Linked DNA regions of Drosophila melanogaster. The gene in region 1 interacts genetically with each later gene. Each region holds a gene or a part of one and is shown in the gene's direction. Other genes may lie near its edges.

Region 1 (7,380 bases):
AACATTGACCCAAACTCAAAGAGGAGCGGAAAGGGGGTGGGGCAGGGGGCTCTAAAAAACGCGGAAAAAAATTGTGTAAAAAAATAAAGGGGAATTTTGCGCCGGCGACAAACCCACGCACACAAGCACATGGCCATGCCAATACACTCACACAGACGCACTGGAATTTTTTTCGCTGTTAGCCTTTGCCGCCCCAAATATCCTGTCTGCCCCACCCCCTGTTAGCCACCCCCTGCCACCATTTTTTTGCATTTTGTTTTGTTCGACTTTGATGCGAACGTACTTTTTTTTATTGCGCAAAAGAGAGGGGAATGCCGCAAGAGAAGGAGAAAGAGAGAGAGAGCGAGAGCACACGTTTCATTTGACTTTGCAGGCTGTTTTTGTGTGCTTTTGAATATGTTTGTGATTTGTTTTTGTTTGGCACTGGTCAACAATTAACAAAAGTCATTATTGTGGCTCCGCATTTATTCCGGCGATATTTCAGCTAAAATACCGTTAACTGGCAGATTAATCAATAGCGCCGGGAAGTAGGCAACTGTTTTGCTGGCCGCCTTGTTTCTGTGGTTGCGCTTTCTAGCACTCAATCAGCCCCACATGGGTTTCGCTAGAAATCCCCAAAAAATGTGGCAGCGAACGGGTGGCCGCCCCCCAAAGGGGTGGGCCCAAGCAGAACTCACCTCGGGCAGTCGAAAAGCAGCAGAAAAAGCAGGAAAGGCAGCAGCCTCCGCCCTGACCTAAGCCACCGCGCTGGCTTAACTGCCAACAGCAACCACCTCACATTTGGCCACCCACTCCGCCCACTATAGCCCATTCAGCCCCCCACCGCCGGCCAACCCCAGCTACCCCCAGCCATCCCAAACCACCCCACTGCAGCCCTCTGCAGCCCTCTGCCGGCGTCGACGTTTGTCTGCTGCCGTGGTTGCTGATATTTCTAAGTTCTTTTTTTCGCATTGCAACCTTGCCTCAACTTCTTCGCCCAGCACAACCCACCCCCGCTCTTTTTTCTTCCCAGCAGTTTGCACATTTTTCCCAGCATTTTTTCCATTTCCATTTGCTGTGCATTTTTTTCTCTTGGCGCCCCTCCTTTTTCCAATTTTTTTCCTGCCACAGGAAATAAATTTTTTCCTTTCTGTCGCCCCGTCTCGCTTGCACCTTGTGCATTTTGAACCCCCCCCCCCCCCGTTCGCAAAACACAATCATTTTTTTGCAGTCATTTCCCCACCGCTTTGGTGGTGTTGCTATTGCTGTTGCATTTGCATCTGTGTTTTCGCTTTTAGATTTTGTTTTTTAGGTTTTTGCATCCTGGCCGGCGGCAGAAAGAAAGGGAGAGGAAGAGTCTTAAAAAATAGCAGAGTTGCCATTGAAAAATACAATTTATTATAAATTGTTGTTTTTAGTGCCCAACTAGAATTGGGTTAGACAAAGCGACGATTGAGGCGGAATTCTTTAACAGGTTGTTTTGCGATTTATAGTTCAATTCACAAAAGGTCACTTAGTGAACTGATTTTTTGTCCTTAAAATCATATTGGTCATCTTATGTGTAGGCCAGCTTTTCAGAATTTGAATATCTAGTTTTATCCCACATACTGGTGGGTGTTAATATTTCTATTTCTATGTGGATATTTTAAGAGTGTTCCCTAGTAGCTAAATGATATACATCTGAGACTTTTAATTAATTAATTGCTGATTTCATGGTTTTAGTACAGAAAACCATGTGCTAAGATGTTTTTAAGCAACATCCTGAATCTATAACAATTGCGTTAAACTTTTTCATTCTGTTAAGAAGCTTTAAAGTTGAAATATTTTGAGCTCGATGCAACCAAATAATTCCTTAAATTTTGGAGGCACCGGATAAAAACATTTTGATCAACTTTTGTGTGTGAAAAATTAATTATCACCACGTGGCAACACTGTCAACGTGCTTTGATGCCATTTTTTCCCACTCGTTTTTGCCCAGAACTCCCCTCTTTTTTGTATGTTTTGTGGATGTCCAAACATTTTTTATGCTGTTTTGTTGTGTTTCTGTACTTTTTTTTTTTGCTTTTTGGAATACGCAACGGACAGACACACACATAGGGCCACACACGTATTTGAACACACACAGTCAGAGGCGAATCAGAAAAAGTACAAAAAAGCATTTTGGGAAAAGTGGAGTGAGGAGTGAGGCAGGGGATTGCATGGGCTTATTGCGATGCGTGACTCGTATTTGTGGACTTTGAATACAAACAAAACAGTCGGACACAGATAGAAGCCCACACAAGTGCAATTATGAATACTACGCCCACACACACGCCGCATAATCACAGAGAGAGACACTCTCACTCACTGCAATGTGTGCATTTCAATACGCATTAATAACTACGAATTCAATGTGGCAGTGGCAACCATCCTTAGTATTTCAGCCCAAAGCTCACACACACCTAAACCCACACCCTCAAATGCTCACGCACACATAGGCACACCGGCGTCAATGCAGCTGACGCCTAAAAAACGACTACAAAAAAGCATAAAAATCCAATTCCCCGCCTTGCTCGTTAATTTTGCTGGCGCTGCTCTTCAATTCACAGCCCAAAACTGAAAAGTGCCATGATAATTTTGTTTTTACTCTATCCAAACTTTAAAATCGCATAAAAATCAATGCCAATGATGCCATTAAATCAACAGACAGATCCATGTTTCGTTTTCCACAAAAGTTCCAAGCTCGAAGTCCCTTTAAATTCTAATTTTTGTGTTTTTTTAGCAGCACGTTTACTCAACATTTTCGCTTTCTGACGTTCCGGCCTCACATGAACTGCAGCATTTTTTCGTGCTACATTTTTGCTGGTTGCATTCTATGTCTGGTGGCCGCAAAACGGTTTTCCATGAATTTTTCATCCATTTAGCGGCGCCATTGAGCCATTTTCTGGGCGCTTAGAATTCATAGATACTTTAGCAAATTGTTTTTTTAGTTCGATTTTCTACATTCTTTTTGTTTTTAGGGATTTTTAGCTTTTGTATCGTGACATTGAATCTCGGTGTGATTGATTGTCTTTAACGATTTAATTGAATCGAAAATATAAAAAGATCACCACTGACTTGTTTATATGAAGAAGACAGGGCAAATATCTGTTATTGTTAGGCACAAAAAATGTTTATAATAATTTGATTCACTTTTTTTTTGTATTGAAAACAGCATTTTTGATATTTCTTAGTAACACCTTAGTCGCCCATTAAATTTCTGCGGAGCACCCTAGATGTGTGTATGAATTATCCAGAAATATTTACAAATGTACGACCCACAGTAGGCACTCTCTATGGGTGATCGAATTTTTGTGCTGCCAGAACTATTTAAGCTATCAGCTTTCACCCGATTCCAAATAAACCGTAAGAGTAAATAAACATTTCGGTCGAGTATTCGGAGAAGCGAGCCGATAACTTCTGCGTAGCTGACTCAAGCCGAAGTGGCCTCTCTTCGGAAATTGCCAACTGACCAGAACAGCTGAATCAATTCGCCAACTTTATGATTAGTGGCTCTGGGAGTCGGACGCCCTCAAATCGACTTTATTTGTCGCCCGTTCGCCCCACGATGCAGAACAAACGGAGGCTTCTGCGGGAGTACAGGTCCTACGATGACCTCAGCGAGCACTACCGCATGTTTGGATCGCAGTCCCTGGACTCGCTGCAGGATCGCGTGGACATGAATCCCAGTGGCTGCGATGGCTTATCCACGGACGGACTCGACTTCTGCTCGCAGTCCCACTCGGGGCTGCTGAGGGAGCACAATTTCAAGATTAAGTCCTACTACTACAACGTGGGGAACTGCGTACACTGCCGCAAAAGGTGAGTTGCAATCACCGAATGGTGGAACTTCTGAGAGGATTTCGAATTCAGGGAAAACATGAAAAGTTAAATAACATCCCAACCCTCTCTGACCAGCATTTACCTCCCTAACCGCGTGTCCCTGGTCTTCTTCCAGGATCCGCTTCGCCATGGCCAGCCTGAGGTGTCGGGCGTGTCCGCTCCGCTGCCACATCGGTTGCTGCCGCCAGCTGACGGTGAACTGCATCCCCCAGCCTCAAATCGGTACGAAGAGAGGATGTCTCAGCGATTATGCGCCTCGGGTGGCGCCCATGGTGCCGGCCTTAATTGTCCATTGTGTAACGGAGATCGAGGCGCGGGGATTGCAGCAGGAGGGACTCTACCGGGTGTCCTCCACCCGAGAGAAATGCAAACGACTGCGTCGGAAGCTGCTGCGTGGCAAGTCCACGCCGCATTTGGGCAATAAAGACACCCACACACTGTGCTGTTGTGTTAAGGACTTTCTTCGGCAGTTGGTTCACCCTCTGATTCCCATTTACCACCGAAGGGATTTCGAGGAGGCCACGCGGCACGAAGATCGTCTGGCTGTGGAGATGGCGGTATATTTAGCGGTTCTGGAGCTGCATCAGGCTCACAGGGATACGTTGGCCTACTTAATGCTTCACTGGCAGAAAATTGCCGAAAGTCCTGCTGTCCGCATGACGGTCAACAATCTTGCCGTGATCTTCGCTCCAACTCTGTTCGGAGATCTGGATCTAACCCTCGAAAATGTCGTCACTTGGCAGCGGGTGCTGAAGGTGCTACTTCTGATGCCTGCCGGATTTTGGTCTCAGTTCTTGGAGGTCCATCCCCTTCCCACTTCGTTGGGCAGCACCTATGACTTTGAGGACCGGTACAATCACCGTCACTGGGACAGCTCGTCCAATCTGGGATGGTCTTCTGTTAAGACCTACTTTAGATCAATGGTAAGACCTATGGTTTCCCTTTAACGGATTTGGATAGAATTTCATATTCGAATAAGCCAAACTCAATACAAGCAATCAAACATATCATACAAATCTTTCACTGAATACTTCCTGTTTCAGGTCAACCTTAGCAGTACTCACCTATAGTGAAAGTCTTATGACTGAGACATCGAGAATGGATGCAGTCACCCTTTTTTATTTTATTTTGTATTTTTTTTCATTATTCACTACAGTTGAAGAACTAATAATAATTGGATCTCTAACATGTTGTGTATGTGTTGTTGAATTATATGCGGCTAACAAGAGTACTTGACATCTCAAGTGCAATACTTGATTTATTGAATCACCAAAAGATACTCTCAGAAAACACCCATTATTTCCATATATGAAATTCGGCTAATTAAATATAAAGCCAGGCCAAAATCTTATTCGCACCACATAAATAATCTAGCATGGCCCAGAGCGACGTTATCGCAAAACTATATATTTCGAGTATTGAAACATTAATAAACATTTTTAATTGAATTTGCAATTTTTTTCGCCGAACGTTGATTAATTCCCAACCGTTGAAAACATGTAAAAAATTAATAATTTCCATTTCCCATATTTATGTTTCTTTGAAGCGTAAACCAAAGCACAAAGTAAAATATTTTGCCGCGAACACATATAAATAAGTTAAAGCGCCAAGAAAAAAGTTAGCATTTTAAAAACAATTTGGAGAGTGCCGTGCAAAAAAGTGCGGCCATTAAATGCAAAAAACAAGCAAAGCAAAACAAAACTCGAATGCACTGGACGAGTGCATAAATAGACTCACTCCCAATATCAGTCGATCCGATCCCAAGCCAATACTCGTACATGGTCCAAATAATGTATAATACAATCAAAACAAACATAAAGCGAGACGGCAAGCGTGTGCGAGCAGTGGCGAACGAGGGCCGGGAGGGAAGAGCATTTGCAGTGCGCTTCTGTTGCTAACCGCCACAAATATCAAATGGGCTGGCAATTGTTGCAGTGGTCGCCCGTTAACGTTAACCAAATGCTAATGCCAAAGGCCACAAAACGCAGGCACGCACACCAGCGCGTTTTTTAGGGGCAGTTCGCACCAATACCGTGTCAGAAAAATGCAGCGAAAAAATGCAAAAATAAATAGGCAAAACAAAAATAAAAATAGTTTACATAATTCATGTATTATATCGGATCACATTTTAATGCTCGCCGCCGCGCCACTCTGCATGTGTGCGTGTGTGTGTGTGTGTACGTGTGCGTGTGCGGAAAACATTGCCTACTTGGGGGCGCGAGTTAAAATTGTTTAACAAATGGCATGACTGCAATGTATGTGAGTGTGTGTGGCTTGTTTGTGTGCGCCTGCATAATTCGCGTGCAGTTTTTGCTTTTTTAAGACTTTTTAGCCTATTTTTATTGTTAATTAAATGAGGGGAATAACAGACACAGTCCACCGAAGTGGAGCATGCAAGTGAGTGTGTGTGTATGTGCTCACGCTCTCGCGTGTCTGTGTGTGTGCGTGTGTTTGTTTTGATGTGCGCAACAAATTTGTGCAATTTTTCTATTTTTGTCGGCAGTTTTTCACCCGCTCGGGCATTTTCCGCTCGTTGTTCGCATGTAATTCACTAATTGATAGTGTGAGCTTGCCCCATACCGCCAAAACCGCCACGCCCCCTCCCGGTCGCGCCCCCCCGCTCCACTAACCACTTGTGTAATTGTGTTAGTGCCTGCCACACATGAGCTCACACAAAGTTGAAAGCGCAGCAAAGAATAATGGAAAAAAGTAAATGCAAATGTCAAACAAAACTAAAAAATTGCAGTTAAAAATAGTAGGAAGCGTATTATGCGTGGCGAGGTGGAGCGGAAAGAAAAACTGAAAACCAGAATCGCTCACCAATACTGGCACAGCGTGGTGCTAATAATAAGATAGGGTAAAAATCGCAGCGCACTTTTGCGTTTATTTCAGTTAATGCTGCACTTTTTTGCCGCTTTGCTAGGCGTGTTCTATAATTTTATGTAAGCTTTGTGTCGGTCGGCCCAAACAAGTGGGCGCGGCATGTGGTCCATAAAAAAGTTCCCTTTTTCCGTATTCTTCTTGCCGTTTTTTGTGGATAAGACAAATATTTTGTTGATGGTAAAAAAAACTTTAAAAAATACATGTCCGTGATTAATTTTGTTTTTAAAGGATTTCAATTACAATAAGGACTTTCCTTGGGAAAATAAATATTTGCGTTGAGTTTGGAATGTTATTTGTGGAGTGTTTTAAAAAGCTTAAAAATATGCAGGGAAATTATTAAATACAGAATGCATTTTTGCGTGTTGGATTTAACGGTGAGGTCCTTAAAGCTTAATATTTTTTTAGTTTTACGCTTCATCAGAAATTCTGTATTCAATAAAGGCTCTTAGTTACTTATTTAAAAAATTATTTTAAAATAATGTGTGTTTTTCATTTGTCCTCTGCGGCAAAAGAACCGAAACAACCTCCTGACATGCGCCCCGAAATGGTGAACATAATTTTTGGTCAGCTGAAAAAACGGGTTGGAAAGAGCAATGCTGTGCCCCCATCCCCGAACCATCGGAAAAGGATGCATGGGAAGAGGTAGAGCAGAGCACA
Region 2 (6,171 bases), on another chromosome or scaffold:
AACAAGCACGTCGTTTTTGGCCATGTCATCAGTGGCGCCGAGGTGGTGCGCAAGATGGAACGTTGTGGCTCCAAGTCGGGCACTCCCAGCCAAAAGATTGTCATATACTCCTGTGGAGAACTCAAATAAAGAAGCTTTCACAACTAGTGTACTCTTCAACGTTCTCATTTATTGAAAAAATCCACTAAGTCATAGGTATAGGATGCAGGAGAATCCTACTGGAAGTAGGTCCTGGGCTTCCTGAACGAGAACAGTTTCCTGTTGCCCTTGTGGTGGACACGCTGGACCAGAGGGAACTTGATCTTTGAATCGTGGAACTGCTTCACGTGCACGCGGCGGGTCTTGGCGGCAGGGATCGAGTCCACCTTAATGATCTGGATGGAGTGGGCACGGGCACGGTGGCGGGCTCCCATGTCGCGGTAGCACTGAGTGACGGCACCGCCGACAGTCAGGTCACGGTACTCGCGGTACATGTTGTGGGTGCCCGAGCGGGAATCGTAACGCAGCCAGATGCCGAAGTTCTTGATCTTCACGGGCGACGTCTCGTACACCTGCTTGATGGACACGATCTCGCCGGTGGTCTTCTTGAACTTCTTCAGTTGGCGCAGGAAGTACCAGAAGCGGGATTTGGCCACGATGTTGTCGGGGGCAAAGATGCGCATCTTGTAGAGGGGAGTCTGGGGCTCCTTCTCGCTGGGCAGCTTGCGGCCCACGACCTCGTACTCCTTCAACTGCAAATGGGATTTGGATTAGTTTAAATGGTCTACATAAAACAATTGTAAACAAATGCGAACAGTCGCAGGCAAACAAACACACGCATGGCTGTTGGTTTTTGAAGGTTATGTTTTCGGCGGCACAAAGCAGTTGTATTTCTATTATATTGAATATGTTTGAATAGTTAGTTATAAATTCGTACTGAATAATAGTTTCTCACAATTATGTAAATTACTTTTGTGAGTTAGATAGGATCACATTTTTAAGAAAAGTGGCTCGGCAAACATTGTCCACGACAATGTCGTTTTTTACACAGAAATTACGGAGTTTTAAAAAATCCAACGATTACGCCAAATAGGCTATGTTTTTGCTTATCTGTTGCACGCATTTTAAACTAAAATAATGATTGTATAAATCATTTATTTTGGCAAATACTAACCAATCCCTTGGCTCTCATGTTGGACGTTCACGCGAAAAGGAAACGGAAAGAGCTTGTCAAATCGGTATGACACTGAACCTCGATTCAGGGATGGAAAAAACTATCGATAGCTAACTACGAATATTAGTTATGATTGATCCACTGTGATACTGGACGTGCTATAATGGTTCGTTTAAAATTAAGATAATTACTCAAGATAATATTTTTAAATAGCCCGTGTAAATAAGATTTTAACAATAATTGCTGGTACTGGCCAAGTATCGATATGCTTACATTGAACCGCAAGGGAAAAGCACAGCGATGCCTGTCACACGGTTGCATTTTTGGCAGTCACACCAACACGCTGCGCCAGCTATCGAACTATCGTCCATCACTAGCTTCTGCGCGTGTTTCAATGGCATGGCTGTAAAAAAGGCGAAAAATATTGCTAAAAACTTGTTTTTCACGCTTTATTCGAGCTCTCTCCGCAGCCAAATTGTGAAATATCCAATCCCCATACGCTACCCAATGTGCAGCTACTAAAATACGGTGAAAAAGAGCGCGAACAAATCGAGCAGAACGTAAAATGCAAAGCGTGGACGGCGACGTTCAAAAAGAAGAACATTTTTTACCCCGCACAAGAGACGCGCAAAAAGGCAAAAAAGCAATTCGACAATATCATTGTGCTTCTGGTCGAAACTAAGCCCAACGGCAATTGGGTGCACTTGTGAAATCTGTTTGCATTACGTATGCGAGTCCTGCGAGTTTATAAACAATTGAAACCAGGCGTTAATTGTATAAGTTCGCCGTGGGGTGGGGGCGCCCCGCTCTCCTTCCGAGCCGTCTCGGCTCGTCCAATCCAATCCGCTGGGCAAATTCTCTCGGTTTCGGTCTCTTTTTGGTTCAGTTGTGCAGCGAACTTCCGTGAAATCGGTTGTTGTTTTGGCTACGTTCTCTCCTTGCTGTTTGCGCGCGTAAAATTCATCGCTCTTTCTCTCCCTCTCTTGCCTTCCCACTCTCTCTCCCTCTGCCGCCTACAAATTGTGGGAAAATTCTACCTAAGCAGGGTACAGCAACAAGAACAACAACAGCAATAATACGCTGAGCAGAACCGACAAAACAACAGCAACGCATAGGAGGAGAGCAGGTAAATAAACGTGCATAATTGCTGTACATTTTGATTGTAGTGTCCATTCCAAGAATATTTCAAGTAAATTCGTTTATTTTTAGCAGTAAGTGGCTCTCACGTTGCCATTTTGTTAACATTTATTTTGGTATTTTCAATTATTTTGACTTTTCGTTTGCACCAGGGCTGCAAGATCAACCAATGACCGGCGATTTTTGTGCAATACAAATGTTTATGCCGTTAATATTCTGAAAAATTTATCGTGTATACCCCCGCATAAACATTTAGCCTTTGCTGTCATTCTAATTTTTTTTTATCGAAATACCAAACCCAATATCTCGTAATAATAAATTCGTTTCATTTCGCTTTCAGCTGCGTAAAGAACAACGAAAAGCATACAAGAAAAATAGCGAGAACCGGAACGGATTCAACGCCAACGGCATGCAAAGGTAATGAATATAACAATTTTTGTCTAAAGTGCGTTTAATTAATAGCGCTCTGATTATTTGTTTTTCTCCTCTTTTCTTAAATGTTATTATTGTTTTTTGCTGACAGCGTGTGATTGCAGATAATATGATGGAAGCATTGGATCAGCAACAAGCCAAGCTAACGTCTAACCGAGATGATGGAGAAGCGGGAAGAGGATCGGAAACGGGATCGGAAGAGGGCACCGGGGCAGGTGCAGCTGCTGGCGAAGAAGACGACATCGAAGAACTTCATTATGTGCTGGACCAGGCGAAGGAGGAAAACGAGAGCCACCAACATGGACAGAACAACAACGCTAAGGGAAATGAAGATGGGAAGCCGAAAAAGAACGATGACGTGATAGATGTAACCATGGCAAATGGCCAGGGTTTCAAAGACACACCTGAAGAAGAGACGACCGGAACGGAAGAGACAGCCGAAACGGAGGAGACAGCCGAAACGGAAGAGGCAGAGCAGGCAGAGGAATCTCTTCTTAATTCACGAAAAAGCACGGATACACCAGTCGATTTAGGAGCAAATTGCTTGACAACTGGCTCTCCCTCTAAAGATCTCGTAAAGCAAGAGCTTGTCGAAGACAAATCGGAGGAACTCAAAGAACCAACCAGCATCTCACTTAATGAGCAGTTCTTAGATGATATTGAACTAAAGACCGAAGTGGAGGACAAATCGGATTCCTTAAGTGAGACCCATATGGAGTTCTTAACGGATTCGGAAGAGCAGCCCTCAGAGTCTTTAGGGGCAAATCATGAGTCCGAAATCGATGAAAAGGTGGACCACTTCCAGCCAAAAGAATCTGACAGCAATGAAGTGGAGGATAAGTATTTTCAATCAGCAAATGAAGATTCCGAAAGCGAAATTGAGGAAACAGTGTACACCCCGCCAGTGATAAATCTTGAAACAGATTCTGAAAGTGGGGATAAAGAGTTCATATCAATTAAAGATAATGAGAGTCCTGTTTTGGAGATTGAAGGAGGGACAGAAAAGAGTCAGACTTCAGGAGATCTTTACCAAGCTGACGTTGGTGAATACGCTTCCACTGCACCGCCAGAAGTGGATGAGACTACATCGCAAACAATTGGTGTACCTTCTTTAGAGGGATCCGATACACTGGATTCTCCTTCGCTGACAATGGATGTAGATCTTCCATGCAGCGAAGACGGAGCGCCCCCTAATGTCATTAAAATCGAGTCTGATATGGAAGATGAAGCACACAGTGATAGTGTCAAGTTGAAAGAACATACTGTAGAGGTCGTTCCGTTGATAAAACTCAATGGGGCACATAAAGCTTTGAAAGAAGAGAAGCTCGAGGACGGGGAGGTCGAGGAGGTCGAGGATCCCGGCGAAGAGCTGGAAGACCCCAAGGAACAGTCTGTGATAACAAACCACACTGGCAACAACACTAAGGAGGAGGACACTACCGCTTCTCAGGTGTCAGCGCTTCCCCTGATTCTACCCGTTGGTACCACCCGTAGCAGAAGTATAAGCAGCAGGAGCAGCACTGTAAGCTCTGCTTCGCAGCCGCATCTGGTCATCGATCATCCAGAGAGCGAGCACAATGCCAAACCGCCGGCTCTGAAGCTTTCGCTGAAGCGCAGGCGCAGCAAGAGTTCCTCCGTCAGCCAACCCGAAAAACAAACAAAGGTGGAGGCAGGTGGCTTCGTTTCCTCGCTGCTTCTGCAACGCCTTCAGAGCAACTCTAATGTTATTCCGCCTGCCATCTCTACGGAGTCTCAACAAGTCCTTAGTTGTGCAAAGTGCAATTTGCAGTTCGATTTCGAAAGGTTTCAGGAGCTGAACAAGCACCAGGCCCAGTGCAGCGGGATCCAAAGTGCGAATAGTTCCCAGCTATCGCAGAAGCAGGAGCGATTCTTTCGTTGCTCCCAGTGTTGCAGCGTTCACCAGTGCTGGCACTTTTTTCTCCACATGCGTGAAGTCCACCGTCGTTACATTTGTCTATATTGTAATCATGTGTATCCCAGTGTAGAAAAGCTGTCGCTGCATCTAGAAAACAAGCATGACATCGACCAGAGTCACTTCGCTAAGGATGCGTGGGACCAGCAGCAGAGTAAGGAAGATAGAGCACGGCATCTCGTTTGTTGCACATGTCAAGCCACTTTTGTCCAAGGTTCTGAGTTTGAGGATCACGATTGCTCTCAACTGATGCAGCCGTGTGCCTTGTGCAATCAAAAGGGTGGCCATATCATTGGCTGCAAGAACAACAAACGGAAGCCTACGAAAAGGCGTCGAAAGGTGCGTAGACCCCCGGAACCGCCACTACCCGTTTCCCAGGAGGCGGTTGAACAACCCGTGCCCGTAGAGGCAATACCGGAACAACTTCCCCAACAGTTGCACCTGCAATCGGATATTCAGAATCCTTTCCCTGCAGAAAACAGTAAGAACAAATTGATTAAATTTTTAAAATGACATATCTAAATTTCGTATAGTTCCAGCGCCAGAGCCCGTAGAAGATCCTCCAGCGCCTCCCATTCCGAAATTGGTTGTGCCCAAAATTATGTTGCGGGTGCCTAAGGAATTCCAGAAGTCTGTGGATGCAGCCCTAAGCAGTACGGATACGGAGGACGAGGAGCTAGAAACTGCACAGCCTGTGGAAGAGGCAGTGTCGGCACCACCCGAGGATCTACCTTTTGATGCACCGCCTCCTCCACCGCCAGCGCTTAGCTATGATGACTCGACTTCGTCTAAGCTAAATCGTGTTCTGGCAGAACTGGAGCGCACCAAGCTGGACATTGAGCGAACCAAGGCGGATATAATTACCAAAAAACAGTCCAAGATTATTATGGCCAATGCACATTTGGAAAACGTTGTGCCACAGGTTGTAGATCCTCCTCAGCACCTGCAGCCACAGCAGGAGGAACAGCGTCGTTGGTCACTAACGCCACCTGCGTCGCCCCACAACAATCACGTCAATCTTCCAGAACCTCCGCCAGCTTTAATTACGGAATTTCAAGGTCAGCCCGATGCAGTGCGTCGCAACAGCCTCGGCAGCGATTGCATGGACATGGATGATAGTTTGAATGCACCAGAGATGGAAGGTAGTAGGGACTTTACGGAGGCCCAGAAGGAAACTCTGGAGCCAGCCCCACCTTCGCAGGATACACAAACTGCTGACGAACCGCTTGCCATTCAGCCGCTTCCACCCGCCGATGGCATTATGGTAGCTGGACCCGACACCCACACGGTGGATCTGCAACTTGATCGTCCTCTCGACCGGTTTTCAATGGTGGATTTTGTGCGTTTGTGCTTAAAATCTGTGTACTCCTTATGCCTATATTGCAATCACGCTCGAAGGATCGCAGTAAATGTAAAACAGTTGGTGATTCATTTAATAGGCCAGCACAGATTTACAGCTACGGTGGATAGCATTACAGCTGAGGAACTGTACGCAGAGACAATTGTAGCCAAACTA
Region 3 (6,948 bases), on another chromosome or scaffold:
CATCAGCCGGGATATGTGCCTGGGGTCTGGCTTAGTAGCCAACTTTCTTGCTTTCCTTCGGCCTTGCCGCATTTGTCAGTTTGCCGTTTATAGGGTGTATCTCCCACTTTTGTGGCACGTAGCCGTTGACTGTTAATGACTTCTGGCAACACAACCAGCAAAGGAAGTTTACGACAAGCACTGAGAAAAATGCGTGCAAGTTCAGTTGCTGTTTAAGTCAGAGAATTAAGAATTAAGATGGTGTAAGGCGAGAAAATGATAAAATATTTATATTGTTTATACACAACGTAGTAAAATGAAAATTGACATCATGTAATTAAGTTACATTTCACTAGCAAAATTTAACAAACCACTGCTATTTGTGTGTCCACGGTTGTGTGTTGTGCCAAGTGTGTGTTTCCTCGTTTATGTGTTTGCTTTATCTTAGTTCAACGTAGCGTCAAACTTAACTAGCCAAACAATTATTTCCAACGCTCTTGTGCATCCCCCCCTCTCTTTCGACATTTCTATTTCGCAATGCTGCCATCTCTTTCGCATCCGCCGAGAAGCCAAAAGTGCTCTTTATTGCTTGTTACATAAATATTTCATTAAAAGCCATTCATAACCAAGCATTCGGTGTTGACAGTCGCCTCCCACCATCAACGCCCACGCCCACGCCCACCACGTGTCCAACGTAGAAAGAGACGCCTGCTGCCAAACGAAAGAGAGAGAGAAATTTTCCTCTTGCACTTTCACTTGCAGTTGAATTTGCGAACGGTTTGGTAAAGAGGATTGAAAAACAAGATTTGTGGATTTTGTTTTTATACTAGGTAAAATTCAAAACACAATAACAATTACAATTACAACACACCCATTTCGTAGGTTTAATTTTTTCTTATTTTTTAAAACATTTCGGAACTATTAAATTTGTGTTTCAATTATAATATAGTCTTGTAATTGGAATCATGGCTTATTGTACATGCTTATGTATGCGATCGCAATATTTTCATTCTGATAATGTAAAACAGCTGTTGAAATCATCAAGATAAATCTTTAGGAGAAGAAAAACCGAAAAAAAACCGAGAATGAGAAGACTGCTACAAATTGTCTCTTTTTTGTTAAAGCATAAACTTTGAAATGAGTAAAAAAAAGCTCTCTCTGAAAGCTTAATCGCTACTGCCAAGAGAGCGAGTGCTTCTCACCACATTTCTGTGTTTGTGTTTGCTCCTCGGAATTGTTGCTGCAACCTGCGTGCAACATCGCCCGCACCAAAATGTCAAATGCCAAGGAAATGTTTTTAAAATAAGAGAAAATTCTATGTAGGAAATGGTGGTATTTAAATTATATTTCAGTTGTAATTGTTATTGTAAGTGTAAAATGTAAGAAATTAACATCACAATGACACAATGACTAATAATGTACAATAATTATTTATAATATTATCCTAAATGTAACAAAATGTAATCAATGAGATTACGCGCCAACAACACTAACTACCTACCTACCCTACCAACATGTGGTCGCTAAATGAAGCTCCACTGTCACTGCCGTATCCTGGTCCTGAACCTCGTCCTGCTGCACTGGTGACGTCCAATATTTTGTAGCGCCTCGCGGCACCAGCTATCTGTCATACAATTTATTCAAACTTATTCCCTGTAAATCGTTCTATAAAAAAGTTTCAAAACATATTATACATAATAACTACCAATTTCGTAATAAAGAAAATAATATCTTGAAGTGATCTCAAGATTTTTCTTAAAATAAGATGCAGTCGAGACAAAAACCGTAGGCCGCCTAAAAGCATGCTTCTGAAAGTCCCAAAATCACTGTATTAGCACAATGCTCGCAATGATGTTGTAGGCAACCGGCGTGATTCGATCGGATCGGAATGGATCGTGGGGCATTTGAAAGAACAATCACCCACTCGGCCTAGTCGCGCGTTCAACGTTCCGTGCATCGGTTGTCGCCGCCGACTTCGAATCGCATTATGTCTGCCCAAGTGGAGAGCAATGGTGCCAGTGAAAGTAATAACAATTGCGTCAAGGATGTCAGGCTCCTGCTGCTGCCGGAGAATTCCACGGATTCGGATGGCAATCCGGCGAGTGTCGCATTCAGTGCGGAATCGCACAAGAAATTCATTGATGACCTGACACGAACCATTGACGTGGGCCATGTGAGGAGGAAGCGATTGTGGCGGGTGCCCTGGTTTATTTTGCTGATGAGTTTTGTGCAGGTTCGATTTTATGCAGTTGCTCCACTTGTTCGATTCTCTATTATTTTGTGTTTTCCTTTTTTGTCTGCCCGTCAACGTGGCGTATGAGTGATTTTGTGATGCGTGTGTTCAATTCAGAAAATCATCTATATACGATGTGTATAGATGAAAAGCCCTCCGTCAGATAAGAAATTACGTAGGCTAATAAATTACCTGTGAATGTGTCAAAGGTGAAACTATATGTGATGACTACGGCGGTGCTTATCAATGTTAAATTAATTGAGTTATGAATTCCTTAATGTGAAACGAATTTTAAAATATTAATCACAAATATAAAAACAGAGTTTAAAGAATTTTATATTCAACAAAATATTATGAACTTTGAACTGATAAGCTCTTAATTTCTTACTCATGTTTAGCTAAAAAAAAAGCTAACATAAGTGATCTACAATGTGTTTGTTTATACTCCCGCATCTTAATAAGAATCTTTTTACTTGATTTGTTTTAAACAAAACATTTCGTTTGCTTTTGTTTTGTTTATCCGTGTATGGTGCCATTGTGTGAGTGCTTCGTAAATAATTGCTTTTCAATTCATATGAATTTTCATTCACTGGAAAATTTTTTCAATAGTTTACGTATGCGGATTTATTGCGGTTTTAACTAAGCGGAAAATAAGTGATATATTACACCAATCCATTCAATCAAAATGCACAACAAACAGACAAAATGAATGTGTTTTAAGAGGTTTTATTTAGACATCACTGATAAATTTGTCCTTTGATACAATTACTTTTCGATTTTTAGTTATTTAACGTGAATAAAAGTTGTGTTTGGGCAACATATTATAAGACAAATTAGCCATTTTAAGTTGGTCATTTGTTTTTTCTTCTATCAAGTGCTCAACCGCTTAATTGCCAATTGGCCCCTGGGAAATTGTCTTCGAAACAAAGTCCCACAAGTGTGGCCTATTTAATTTGAAACTCATTAATTAATACCTGACTGCATACCTTCATTACACACTCTGCACACTTAGTAATGCAGATCGGTGATTTGAAAGGTTTTATTGTTTGGCCCAACCCAGAAATCGATAATGATTACACAATCGAACGCGTCGCTTAGTCGTCCGATTTAGCAATATTGCCATTTTAGTCATCGGATTGATCGAGTGCTGCAACTTGGAGCTCTGGCATTTGTCATATTTGGTGGGATCGGGATGCATGTTGCACCGATTTGGTGTCACCGCCGTGTTTCTGCGGCTGCTGTCAACTCATGCGGCGCGCATTGTGCGGCATCTCAACTCAACACTCGCACTTTGCAGTTGGCCAAGTGTCGATCGATTGAGCGAAAGTGACAGCCAGTTACCATGACACTGTTCAGCAAAGTTGGGATTGCTTCGTTATGGCGAAGACAACTTACTTCTCACGATTTCAATCGAAAACTGCCACTTGCCTGAGTTTAATTCTTAACAAGAAGAAGTTATCATGAATTGCATTACTTTACTACACTTGTACATAAAATTCTAATTTTGCTTGTGAATAAGCTATATTCAAATTCCAAATATTCTACCAAAGTATGTTATTACATAAAGTGTCAGATAACTACCCTAAATATATGTTGCTCTAAATTTTTTCAAGTTCCATGCAGTATGGTGCAATGTAATCTTCTTTGCTCATTACCAGATATCTTTGCACTGGATAGCTAGTGAGTGTATGCAAAAAGTACTGATCTTCAAACCGGAATGGAACGTCGAGTACTGGCGCCTACTGACCTATATGCTGCTCCATTCCGATTACTGGCATCTGTCTCTCAACATTTGCTTTCAGGTGAGTACCCAACTTTGACCTAATGAACTCTAAACAATAGTTCGAATCAACAAAGTTAAAGTAGCTATAGAGATTCACTTTGTGAAGCAACGACTTTAATATTTCCTAAACTGCTCGTTTAAATGCCATAAAGCACTTAGTAGTTGGCAGTAATTCGATAGTCACATCCTGTCGCTAGCCACCTGTTGTTGCATTGTGTTACTAAGAAGGTTAATGTCTCTGCCAGTGCTTTATAGGTATCTGCCTGGAAGTGGAGCAGGGTCACTGGCGTCTGGCCGTGGTCTATATGGTGGGTGGCGTCGCTGGTTCGCTGGCCAATGCCTGGCTGCAGCCCCATCTCCATCTGATGGGTGCCTCCGCTGGGGTCTACGCCATGCTGGGAAGTCATGTGCCGCACCTGGTTCTGGTCAGTCAGCTGGAAACCGCAATTTAATTTTGATTTAATGTTTACACGATCCCTACTTTGTCGAACAGAACTTTTCGCAATTGTCGCACCGCTTTGCCCGCATCGCCTCCCTGCTGATATTGTTACTCAGCGATGTGGGCTTTACAACTTACCACTTTTGCCACAATCACAATCGCAATCCGCGCACCAGTCTGGAGGCGCATATTGGAGGGGGCGTGGCCGGAATTCTGTGCGGTTTCATCGTCTATCGACGCCTGCAGCCAGCCAATCAAAAGGCCATTTACTTTTAGTCTCAAATAAGATAGTTCCATTCAAATATATATTATATTTATATCATAGTGAAAAATACGTTTTAAAACAAATTGAAGGCAGTCATGAAAGACTTTTATCTTATAGCCGATAAAGATCAATCATTAAACGCAATTAATGTCTGATTATTAAACCTGCAAAAAGTTCAACAACTTCTTAGACTATTTAATATTCTGACAATCCAACAGTCCCTAAATAAATATTTCCTGTGTGGACTGTCTTTTATTTGGTCGCAAAATCCATTGAAAATTATTATTCTATCGTCGTGGTTAATGTTTAATTTCGGTGTTATGAATAAACATTAAATTTACACCTCATAAAGAAAGGGTGGGCCATGTTTTATGGCTTGTTTTTTGTGCTCTTCACTCGCCACACATTTAATTGGCCTATACTTGCTAACTGAATAAGTCTGTATAGAATTTATTAATTACTCATCGATTGGCTTTGGCCAATTAATGCTGACGCAGACAGGAATGTTTAATTTAAACTCATGGATTCCATAATGATCTTGATGTGCAATTAAATTCAACACAATTCGTAGAAACATTTCCCCAAACTAGCAATTTGTTATTTGTCACAAGGTTGAAATGCGATCAATATTTATAAACCAATTTGTTGGTTGTTGTTTGACTTTTCATCAAAATAAATAATAAAGTGTAATAATTCAAAACAAAGACTTTAGATTTTGATAATTTATTTGTTAGTTTTATTAAATATATTTCGTGTACTTCTTATTTAATTATAGCCTTAATTATTGTATGTTATAAATGCCATGCTAAGTTTTAAATATATTAATCATTTTTTTCTATAATACAACTTAGGGTCTTGAGAAGGCCTAAACTACCCTGTAGTACAATACGAACTAAAAGCTACTGCTACAAACTGAAACTTAACCGCTACAGACTTCCTGGGGGGATTACAATCGTAGGGGGGGGGGGATATCTAAATTAACAGTCTAATGGGCCGCACTTGACGCCCACCTCGGTGCATTTGCATTCCAGGCACTGGCTGGATAGCTCCACAATAATCCGACCCACCCGATACATGCGTCCGTATATGTTGCAGCCAGCCAATTTCAACTGACCAAGCGGATCATCGCCACCCGGAAGTCCACCCACCAGTCCGCCTCCACCAGTCCGCTCAACCGAACCAGAACCTGAATCCTGGTGCACATCCTCCGGGGATGATGACGCTGCTGATGGGGCTGCTGTCGGCGGTCGCGTTGCATGCTGGTAATGGTGGAATTGCTGCTGCGGTGGCTGCTCATGTTGCTGCGGTGCTTGCTGCTGCTGCTGTTGCTGCGGTTGCAATCTGTGCGGTCTTACCTCATAGCTGGTATCCATGAAGGGTAATTTGTCGAACGGTGAGTTTAAAAATGGATGCAGAGTGCTCCCCGTTGTTGTGGCAAGCCCCGCGGTTGTTGACGCAGTTGATGCCGTTGATGTCGCTGCTGGCGGGGATCGAGTGGTTGCCGGTGTACTCTGGCGTCGCGTGCCACTCTGGACTTTGCGTCTATTGCCGCTGGTCTGTTTGTTTTTCGTTTTGCCGTTTCCCTTTTTGGCCGGAGCACGTGTCGTCACTGTTGGCCGACCAGAGGTCGATGTTGCAGCCGTGCTTGATGCAATTGCTGCAGTTGCTGTTGCTGCTGTTGCACTCGCATCTGCTGCAGTTGCTGTTGCTGCTGTTGTTGATTTTGCTATCGTTGGCGTTGCCGTAGGCAGTTGCTTAAATGCAGGCACTGTCCTGCTTGCTGCATCCTCTTCGGACAACTCCATACCGAGCAGCTCATCCAAGAGCTTATCCAATTTATTGATTTCATATTTATCTATCAAGGGGGCTTCCTTTTCCGTTGTCGTCGACGTGGATGTGCTGGTTGTGCTGGTTGTGCCGCTTGTGGATGACGATATGGAGGAGGCTGTTGAGTTGCTAACACTGTAAGTGACGGTCTCGATATGCTCTTCAATCGGCTTTTTGTTCGCCTTGTCAACGATTAGTTCATCGAGATTGGGCGACGGTTCTGTGTGTATGACATCTTTGAAGGGGTCGGGTGTAGTGATTTCTGTAAAAGGGCAAAACCAAGTGGACATTTTTAGATAAATCTCTCAAATTCAGTGCGGTGCAAGAATATACAAGCTTGTTAAAGTTCTAAAAACTTCAACTCACCTATTGAAGCAGTATCATTTTCCTGTGCGCCCGAGGTTGTGATGTCGATAATGTGC

Evidence for each region. Genes that interact genetically often act in the same process or in processes that back each other up.
Region 2: of RacGAP84C (region 1) and MESR4, changing one suppresses a phenotype caused by changing the other (phenotypic suppression), as found in Drosophila melanogaster (one study listed by BioGRID).
Region 3: of RacGAP84C (region 1) and rho-6, changing one enhances a phenotype caused by changing the other (phenotypic enhancement), as found in Drosophila melanogaster (one study listed by BioGRID).

What each region holds. Positions count from the first base shown.
Region 1 is NT_033777.3:7,282,606-7,289,985, forward strand, and holds RacGAP84C (Rac GTPase activating protein at 84C), read left to right. Parts: upstream 1-3,356; 5' UTR 3,357-3,499; coding exon 3,500-3,819; intron 3,820-3,955; coding exon 3,956-4,763; coding exon of another isoform or gene 4,764-4,787; exon of another isoform or gene 4,788-4,846; intron 4,847-4,883; coding exon 4,884-4,910; 3' UTR 4,911-5,024; downstream 5,025-7,380.
Region 2 is NT_033778.4:17,546,256-17,552,426, forward strand, and holds the start of MESR4 (misexpression suppressor of ras 4), read left to right. Parts: upstream 1-1,513; 5' UTR 1,514-2,279; intron 2,280-2,630; 5' UTR 2,631-2,707; intron 2,708-2,813; 5' UTR 2,814-2,831; coding exon 2,832-5,136; intron 5,137-5,188; coding exon 5,189-6,171. Other genes in the region: cyp33 (cyclophilin-33), read left to right, coding at 1-129; RpL18A (ribosomal protein L18A), read right to left, coding at 216-731, 1,154-1,171.
Region 3 is NT_033779.5:12,128,358-12,135,305, reverse strand, and holds rho-6 (rhomboid-6), read left to right. Parts: upstream 1-1,894; 5' UTR 1,895-1,966; coding exon 1,967-2,212; intron 2,213-3,870; coding exon 3,871-4,014; intron 4,015-4,240; coding exon 4,241-4,420; intron 4,421-4,488; coding exon 4,489-4,710; 3' UTR 4,711-4,790; downstream 4,791-6,948. Other genes in the region: CG17211 (uncharacterized protein), read right to left, coding at 5,677-6,788, 6,893-6,948.